Callithrix jacchus: one gene and its partner. The protein of the gene in region 2 purifies or fractionates together with the protein of the main gene of each other region. This does not show direct contact. Links are inferred from orthologs where the notes say so. Each region holds a gene or a part of one and is shown on either strand. Other genes may lie near its edges. The genes, in order: FKBP5 and SGK2.

Region 1 (3,814 bases), on a different chromosome or scaffold from region 2:
CTCTCCGTTTAGTTCTCCGGATAATGCCTCCATCTTCAAGTAAATCCTCTCCTTTGAAATCAAGAAGCTCTACCTAGAAAGCAAAAAGGAATTTAGCTGAGAAAAGATCAAATAAAGCCAATTTAATATATGTGAAGGCAAGGGCAACCAATTCTTTCATTTTATAAAATAAATGTTTAAAAATATATATATATATTCATCTATGTATCTTAATTATTGGAAAAGTAGCAAACAAAACCCACTATATTTTCTATACTTGGAACAAATTTCATGTAATAATAATGTCTTGGACTATATCCTAAGGGACTGCAGTACAAAGATAGGAAATACTAGGAAAACTACCCTGTGGGCAAAAAGCCAGAGCTACAAGGTAGTGATATAAAATTATTTTATTTGAGGCCATGACTTTCCCACCCTGGATTTAGAGTTTCCTTCTCAAAATGTAAGAATAAATCTCACGAATGTGGCCTATGACTGAATACAAGGTGTATCTTACCTAGCTAGGGTGGTTCTTAAAAATCAAGTTTTGCCAAATACATGTCATTCAGCAGAGGATGAATGATGTTTTATCACTATCAACAGCTTCTAGAGAGGTGAAATCTATAATATAGAAATCTTTATAATATGAAAGTACCTGCAACTTGACATAGGCATATTTCAACATCTATCACCAACATTTCCATCCTGTATTCTGGTCAGTTTTGAGTATATCACACTCACACCACAGACCAGAATCTTTATTTCCAAGTGTAGTGTCTTGTTTATTTGGATATGAACTTTCTGTGCTAGAAGCATGTTTCTAAGAAAGTACTGGCACGCACAACCTTGGGTGTGTGGGAAACAATTCAAGAAGCCATGCTCCAAAATAAATAAGTTGGATCTGATACTCTATAGCAAGCTTAGCTCCTTTTCCCACTGTTGCTTCAAAGCCATCTCTATTATAGAGCAGATGCTGACAAGGCAGCATCACACACATACTTGCCTCAAAAAAGAGAGTTGCATTTGAGGGAATTTTAGGAAGACTGCCAGTTGCTCCATATGCATATTCTGGTTTGCACAGTAAATGGCATATCTCTCCTTTCTTCATGGTAGCCACCCCAATGTCCCATGCCTTGATGACTTGGCCTAAGAGAAAGGAAAAGGTAGTTGAAAGCTATAAGGCTTCTTTTAAAAGATTTAACTTTCATAAACAAATATTCAAAGTTCCAGTTCTTCATACTGTGTATTCAGCTAGAACGTATGGGCCACAAGATGACAGAACTCAGTAGAAGTTACACACAAATAAATAAATTAAGATTTTTTTTAAGGCTATCATAAAAGATTCCCTGGTGATTGGCCCAGCACTTTGGGAGGCTGAGGCGAGAGGACTGCTTGAGCCTAGGAGTTTGAGACCAGTCTAGGCAACACAGCGAGACCTCATCTCTACATTAAAATAACAAAAACAAAAAACAATAACCAAAAAAAACCACAGCTGGGTATGGTGGTGCACAACTGTAGTCCCAGCTACTCCAGAGGCTATGGTGGGAGGACTGCTTGAGCACAGGAGCCCAGGAGGTTGAGGCTTCAGTGAGTCATGATTATGCCACTGCATTCCAGCCTGGGTGACAGAGTGAGACCCTGTCTCAAAAAGGATTCCCTGCTGAAAGGAATGAAAGTAGTATAAATTCCTAAACTACTCAAAAATGAAGTCTTTGAAAACTAGTGGTAACATTATCCATGAAATATGGCTATGTTGCAATCGTTGCTTAATTTATCATTTCAACTATATATAATAAGTGCATATTTTCTAGGCAGAGACAGAACAAAAATAGTACTGAAAAACAGAGTTTGTCCTAAGGAAGCTTATAATTTCGTTGGGTAGACAAAAAACAACAAAACAAGAAGTAACCAGAGTATAAATTGCAAAGGGTCCATGAGACACATTTCTTCTCAAAATTTATAATCAGAAGAATGTTTCTTTTGTAGAATCAGCTCCCACTGATTCTACATTGTAGTGAGTTGTATAAGTATTTCATCATTTATTACAATGTAATAATAATAGAAATAAAGGGCACAATAAATGTAATGCATTTGAATCATCCCAAAACCACCCCCCTCACCAGGCTCCCGACCTGGGTCCATGGAAAAACTACCTTCCACAAAACTGGTCCCTAGAGCCATCAAGGAAACTAAGTTAAATTTATTGCTCAATTGTAGAACTATATTAGGTTATATAATTGTAATCTCAATGTTTATAGTTCCTATGATGTGCATCATTATCTTACTGTAAGTAGTATCAAGTCCTTTGGGAAAGAGTAGAAAATTTAGGCAATTCAAAAGGCTAAACTACATTTTGGCTGGGCGTGGTGGCTCACACCTGTAATCCCAACACTTTGGGAGGCCAAGGTAGGCAGATCACTAGAGGCCAGTAATTCAAGACCAGCCTGGCCAACATGGTGAAACCCTGTCTCTACTAAAAATACAAAAATTAGCTAGGCATGGTGGTGCGGGCCTGTAATCCCAGTTACTTGGGAGGCTGAGGCAGGAGAATTGCTTGAACCTGGGAGGCAGGGGTTGCAGTGAGCAGAGATCACGCCACAGCACTCCAGCCTAGGCTACAGAGCGAGACTCTTGTCTCAAAAAAAAAAAAAAGGCTAAATTACAAATGAGGTACTCTATCAAAAACATTAAGTATCTGGGGACTGGGCACATTGGCTCATGCCTGTAATCCTGGCACTTTGGGAGGCAGAAAGATCCCTTGAGCTCAGGAGTTCGAGACCAGCCCAGGCAACATGGTGAAACCCCCATCTCTACAAAAAAATGTATTTAAAAAATTAGCCAGGCAAGGTGATGCCTGCCAGCTACTCAGGAGGCTAAGGTGGGAGCATCGCTTGGGCCCAGAAGGTCGAGGATGCAGTGAGCTGAGATCATGCCACTGCACTCCAGCCTGGGCAGCAGAGTGAAGACCCTGCCCTGTCTCAAAAAATAAAAACAAAAATTTAAGTATTCAAAGTGGGATCAAATAAAAGACGAACCCCAGAAGAAGTGAATTTAAAATGAGCTGGTGGTAAGATATTAAGACAAGGGAAACCCTACATAACAGTATGTAAGCAGGGATAGATAAAACATTTGTCATTCATGACTTTAGCTTAATCTTTATTAACTACTACAACTTTTCAAAATGTCAGCTACATTTATTTCAGTTAAAAATGTATGTAAGTGGCCAGGAACACTGGCTCATACCTGTAATCTCAGCATTTTGGGAGGCCAAGTGGGAGCATCCGCTTGAGCCCAGGAGTTTTAAGACTGGCCAGGGCAACATTGTGAGACTCCATCTCAACAAAAATTTTAGAAATTAGTGTGGCATGGTGGCACATGCTTATAGCTCCAGGTATTTTGGAGGTTAAGACAGGAGAATAGCTTGAACTCAGGAGTAAGAGGCTATAGTGAGCAATGATTATGTCACTGCACTCCAGCCTAGCTGACAGCAAGATCCTGTCTCTTGAAAAAAAAAAATTATTCAAGTAATACATGACTATTATTAAAACACCCACGAGAGAGATGAAATGTGAAAGCTGAAAGGTCATCCATTTGCTCCTTATAAGTCACTGTTATGTTTCTTTGGTATTCTACTGTGTGCTGTCACTTTTAAAAAAAATTAAACACCCAAATGACAGCAAAGTAGACATTCAGTTCTTAACTATTTTTTCATTTAATATATATCTTCATCCTCCTTCTCCATCAGTAGAAAGGCAGATGTAAACTTTAGAGGTCAAAAATGCAGCATATTGTAACCTCAGACCACCAGGATTTGAATACCAAGTCTGCCCTTTAC
Region 2 (4,245 bases):
GCCCCTGCTTTTGTCTGCAGGTGTGAGAGCTCTCTCTTTGCACATCCACGTGGCAGCAGGGGCTGAAAGAGGCTGCCGAAGGGAAGACCCAGGCTTCCCACCCTCACCAAGTCACTCACTTTCCCGTAGTTCCCTTTGCCAATGACTTTGAGGAAGTCGAAGTCCGTGGGCCGGGCACTGGGGGAAAGGAAAAAACATGGACAGCGTTTGCAAGCTCTGGGAACCTGGTGCCTGAGAGCAAACCTGGGCTTCTTTTGAACTTTAGAGTGGGGAAAGCCTTTCGGAAGACATGCCTCCTCATCCCTCAAGAACCTCATGTTCTCCCAGCCAAGAGGGGGCTGGTAAGACTCACTCTTGCCCCAGGGGAACTCAAATGCAAGTTAAACAGGCAGGGTGAAGATAAAACCAGACATAATGCACAGAAGGCCTGCATAGGAGGTGGGGATCTGGAGCCAAAGCCCCCAAGAAGGGCCTGCAGTGTGGGGAGTTACTAACACTGCAGACATTTGGGGGACATTGCAGGAAGAGGGTTCAGCATGGGCAGAGGCTGGGGATTCGTGGGAGATAAGGCTGGGGGGAGGTCCTGGGCCCAGACGGCAGAGAGGCTTGAATGCTAGACCAGAGAATTTGGATTGTATTCCCAAAGCAAGGGGAGCCAGGTATGAGGGGAATCAAGTAGGAAAGGTGTTTGAGGGACCAGAACTCACTTTGGGTTGGCCGAAGGCCCCAGGTTGATGTTCCCATTGGCCCTGGAGGGCTACAGAAAGAAGTGATTGCAATCAGCAGGCCTAGTCCTTGGCCACCTTCCTTTCTCCTGGCCCAGGCCCTGATGCCACCTCTACCAACTCTTCTAGGCCTGCCTGCCTTCTTTTTTCCTTCTTTTCTCCTTCCTTCCCTCCTCCCTCCCTTCCTTCCCTTCATTCCTCCTTCCCTCCCTCCCTCCTTCTTTCTACCTATCTACCTGCCCACTAATCCACATATTCACCGTCTTACTCACTTCTCAAAACAGCCTTGGGAGGCAGCTGGCTGTTGTGCGAATTGAGTAGGTGAGGAAACTGAGCCCAGAGAGGTGTTACCCAAGGTCTCGCAGGCAAGCAAGTTGGGATAGAACCCAGGTGTCTTCATGACAAATCCCACAATTTTTCCACTCTATCTCGAAGCCCTTGCTCAGATCTCTCCTCTGGCTCATTTCTAAGTGCTCGAAGTGACCCTGTCAGCCCTGACATTCTCTGGGACAGCCCATGGGGCTATCTGTCTCCATGGATTTCCTTAGCCTCGGGAGGAAGTGGGCCCCCAGTGATGGGTGGGGGACCAAGAACTACTTACCTGTGGACTGGGGGTCCCAGCTGGGCTAGAGTTCATTCTGTAGCAATGATCAGGCTGCTCTGGGGGCACAGGGAGGCACAGACATGAGAGAGCTGGTGTTGGGGGGTCAGCTTCACCCATCCAGGGCTTCAGGCACCAGCACCCTCTCCAGCCCCCACTACTTGTGCACCCGCCACAGCCTGAGGGTTTCCTACCCCAGAGGTAAGCAACCCTTGTGTGGACAGAACAAGACATGATATCCCTGGACCCAGACTTCCTAACAAACATCTCAGAGTGGGTAGAGGGGGATGGTCAGGGAATCCAGCAGAGCTTAAGATGGGACTGGAGACTTCTGAGTCTCTACTCAGAGAGGCTCCCCCAGCCCAGGTGCTCTGAGAGGCCCAGCCCTAGCAAGCCCTTGGAGCAAGCTGCAGAACTGCTGGCTAAGGAAGACTGTGGCCCCTCGCCAATGCCACACGGCCCACCACACTGCCACTCCCTCTCCTAGGCTGACTCTGACGGCCCTTCTGCCAGGCTAAAGACTGTGGCCCCTCCCAGGCTGAGTCTTTTCAAGATTCGGGGTCAGCCAGGGCAATAAGACCTCTGTGAGTCAGGGTAGCTCCAGAAGTCCAAGATGACCAGCACTGGAAGGACCTTTTCAGGGCATGAAGTCTGAACCCTTCTCCCATTTCACAGGTGAAAGGCCTATGGCCTAAAACAGGACCTTCCTAAGGCTACACAGTTTGTGAAGCACAGGCTGGGCTCTCCGGACTCCCATAGAGGAACAATGGCAATGCTGAATTACTGTGGGCACTCCCAGCTGGGCTCTGTGCTATTACCTCCTTGCCAGAAGGAATTCTGCCCAATGCCTCAGGAATGGCAGCTGCCCTGGAAGCCTTGGGCTGGGGCTACAGAGAGACTCAAGACTGGCTAGCATCTATCCTGGAGCAAACAACAGATGGTGTGACCAGCTGATCTATGCAGCCAGGAGTAGTGTCTTCCTTGCTTCCACCCTGCAGTGGAGAAGAGGCCAGGGTGCCTAGGCCCTGGCACAGATTGCTTGGGGCCCCACAACCTCATCCTTGCTTGGCAAAGACTGAGAGCAGAGATCTCACCTGAGAGATCTCCCAGCACTGTGCATCCCAAGACCTTAGTCCTAGCCCACTATGGGGCCTGGGCTGCAGCCCAGCCTCTCTGAGTAGAGACTTCCCATCTTTACAAGAGGGATCCTGGAGGCACGAACCTCATGGCCTTCGTGGGAACAGAGAAAGTGAAGGGGAATTGAATTGAGAGGCTCCCCCAGCCCAGGTGCTCTGAGAGGCCCAGCCCTAGCAAGCCCTTGGAGCAAGCTGCAGAACTGCTGGCTAAGGAAGCGCAGGCTGCCCCTCGCCAATGCCACACGGCCCACCACACTGCCACTCCCTCTCCTAGGCTGACTCTGACGGCCCTTCTAACAGGCCCTGGCCTCCCAGGTCCCACATACCTGTAAATCTGAGGAGAGGCCTTTAGGAGAACCAGCAGCTGGAACTGAAGACAGGCAGTGGACAAGAGAGCCTCTCTCTGTTCTCCCAACAAGGGCCTAAGTGTCTGCGCCCGGTGCCGGCCGCGCCCCAGCACAGAGCTCACAGCTCCCGGCAGCAGCAGCGAGGGGGCTGGTTGATGTCATGTGGGATCCAGCAGAGCTTAAGATGGGACTGGAGACTTCTCTTCCCTGGGGACACCATCTCACCCTGGAGGGGAGAGGGGTAGGAGTGGGTAATAGACCCAGGAGAGCCCTGGAGACCCCTGGGGCTTGTTAGACTGTGTGGGTCAGGGTGTGTGCTGTGCAAGTGTTTTGTGCATAGAATGCTTTTGTGTGTGTCTGTCTGTGGCTCTGTGTTTCAGGCATTTGTGTCTGTATGAGTCTGCATAGATGACCTCATGTATGTGTCAGTGTGACCATATTTGTACATTTATGTCAGCCTGTGTCTGTGCATCTGTGACTGTGTGTATCATGTGTTTGGTGTGCATATGGATGTGTTTCAGTGTGTCTCTGTGTAGTACATGTCAGTGGAGTGTGAGTCTGTATGTGGATGTCTGAAGGTGTGTGTTCAGACCAGTATGGGCGTCTATTAATTTGTGTTTATAGGTAAGTCATTGTGTGTTTGTGTTCATATTGGTGTATATCAACAAATTTGCTCTGTGTGTGTGCGTGCACACACACATGTAGGGGGCCTGTGTATATGATCCCTGTGTAGACCATCTGGAACTGAAAAGGTGCTTCCACAGACGTCAGCCATGGCAGCTGAGAGCCCTCTGCCTACCAAAAACCTGCATGTGTTTCAGAGGAAGGAACCTGGAGCCTGGGTGTCTGGCTCAGTCTGGCCTGTCTTGGTCTTTGCTGAGCACCTAGTCTTTTGGGCTTTTCCCTGCAGGCTCCTCAAGGGCTCCAGCCCAGTCCTCAGGGCAGGCCCAGTGGGCCTGTGTGGCTCTCCTACTGTGTGAGAAACCGTTGCAGAGAGTACCATGGCTCACGGAGGCCTCACTGCCTGGGGCGGTCATTAGGTACTCACAGGGTCCCTTCCTCTCCCTAGGAGCTCAAGGGGTGGGCAGATGTTCTGGGGAATGAAGGCGTCGATGGGCCCATAGGCCCTGCCCTTCTCAAACTTTCTGTGTGGCTACAGTATACTACAGGGGAGGGACATATGGCACTAGAGCCTAGAAAGTTGGTCAGGGAGGGAACTGGGGCCAGTGGCCTCAGGAGTTCTCTGTGGGCTCCGAAATGCAGAGGATCTGAAAGTGTTGACTGGAGAAAACCCGAGTGCACGATATCAAGGCCTTCCATCTTTGAACAAAACAGAAATGTGGAACCAATTCATGAGCAGCAGGATGTCGTGTTGACAAAACACATACTCAGAGCAAGGACATTTCTTTTCAGAAACAAGATCCTTATGTGGCCTT

Evidence for each region.
Region 1: the proteins of SGK2 (region 2) and FKBP5 purify together in Homo sapiens (affinity purification with mass spectrometry; 3 studies listed by BioGRID and IntAct, with this or other methods). This does not show direct contact. The link is inferred for Callithrix jacchus from reciprocal best matches to the Homo sapiens genes SGK2 and FKBP5.

What each region holds. Positions count from the first base shown.
Region 1 is NC_133505.1:43,920,256-43,924,069, forward strand, and holds part of FKBP5 (peptidyl-prolyl cis-trans isomerase FKBP5), read right to left. Parts: intron 1,126-3,814; coding exon 983-1,125; coding exon of another isoform or gene 979-982; intron 74-978; coding exon 1-73. UniProt on the Homo sapiens protein: Immunophilin protein with PPIase and co-chaperone activities. Component of unligated steroid receptors heterocomplexes through interaction with heat-shock protein 90 (HSP90).
Region 2 is NC_133506.1:38,947,774-38,952,018, reverse strand, and holds the start of SGK2 (serine/threonine-protein kinase Sgk2), read right to left. Parts: upstream 2,852-4,245; 5' UTR 2,789-2,851; intron 1,386-2,788; 5' UTR 1,363-1,385; coding exon 1,327-1,362; intron 758-1,326; coding exon 708-757; intron 178-707; coding exon 120-177; intron 1-119. UniProt on the Homo sapiens protein: Serine/threonine-protein kinase which is involved in the regulation of a wide variety of ion channels, membrane transporters, cell growth, survival and proliferation.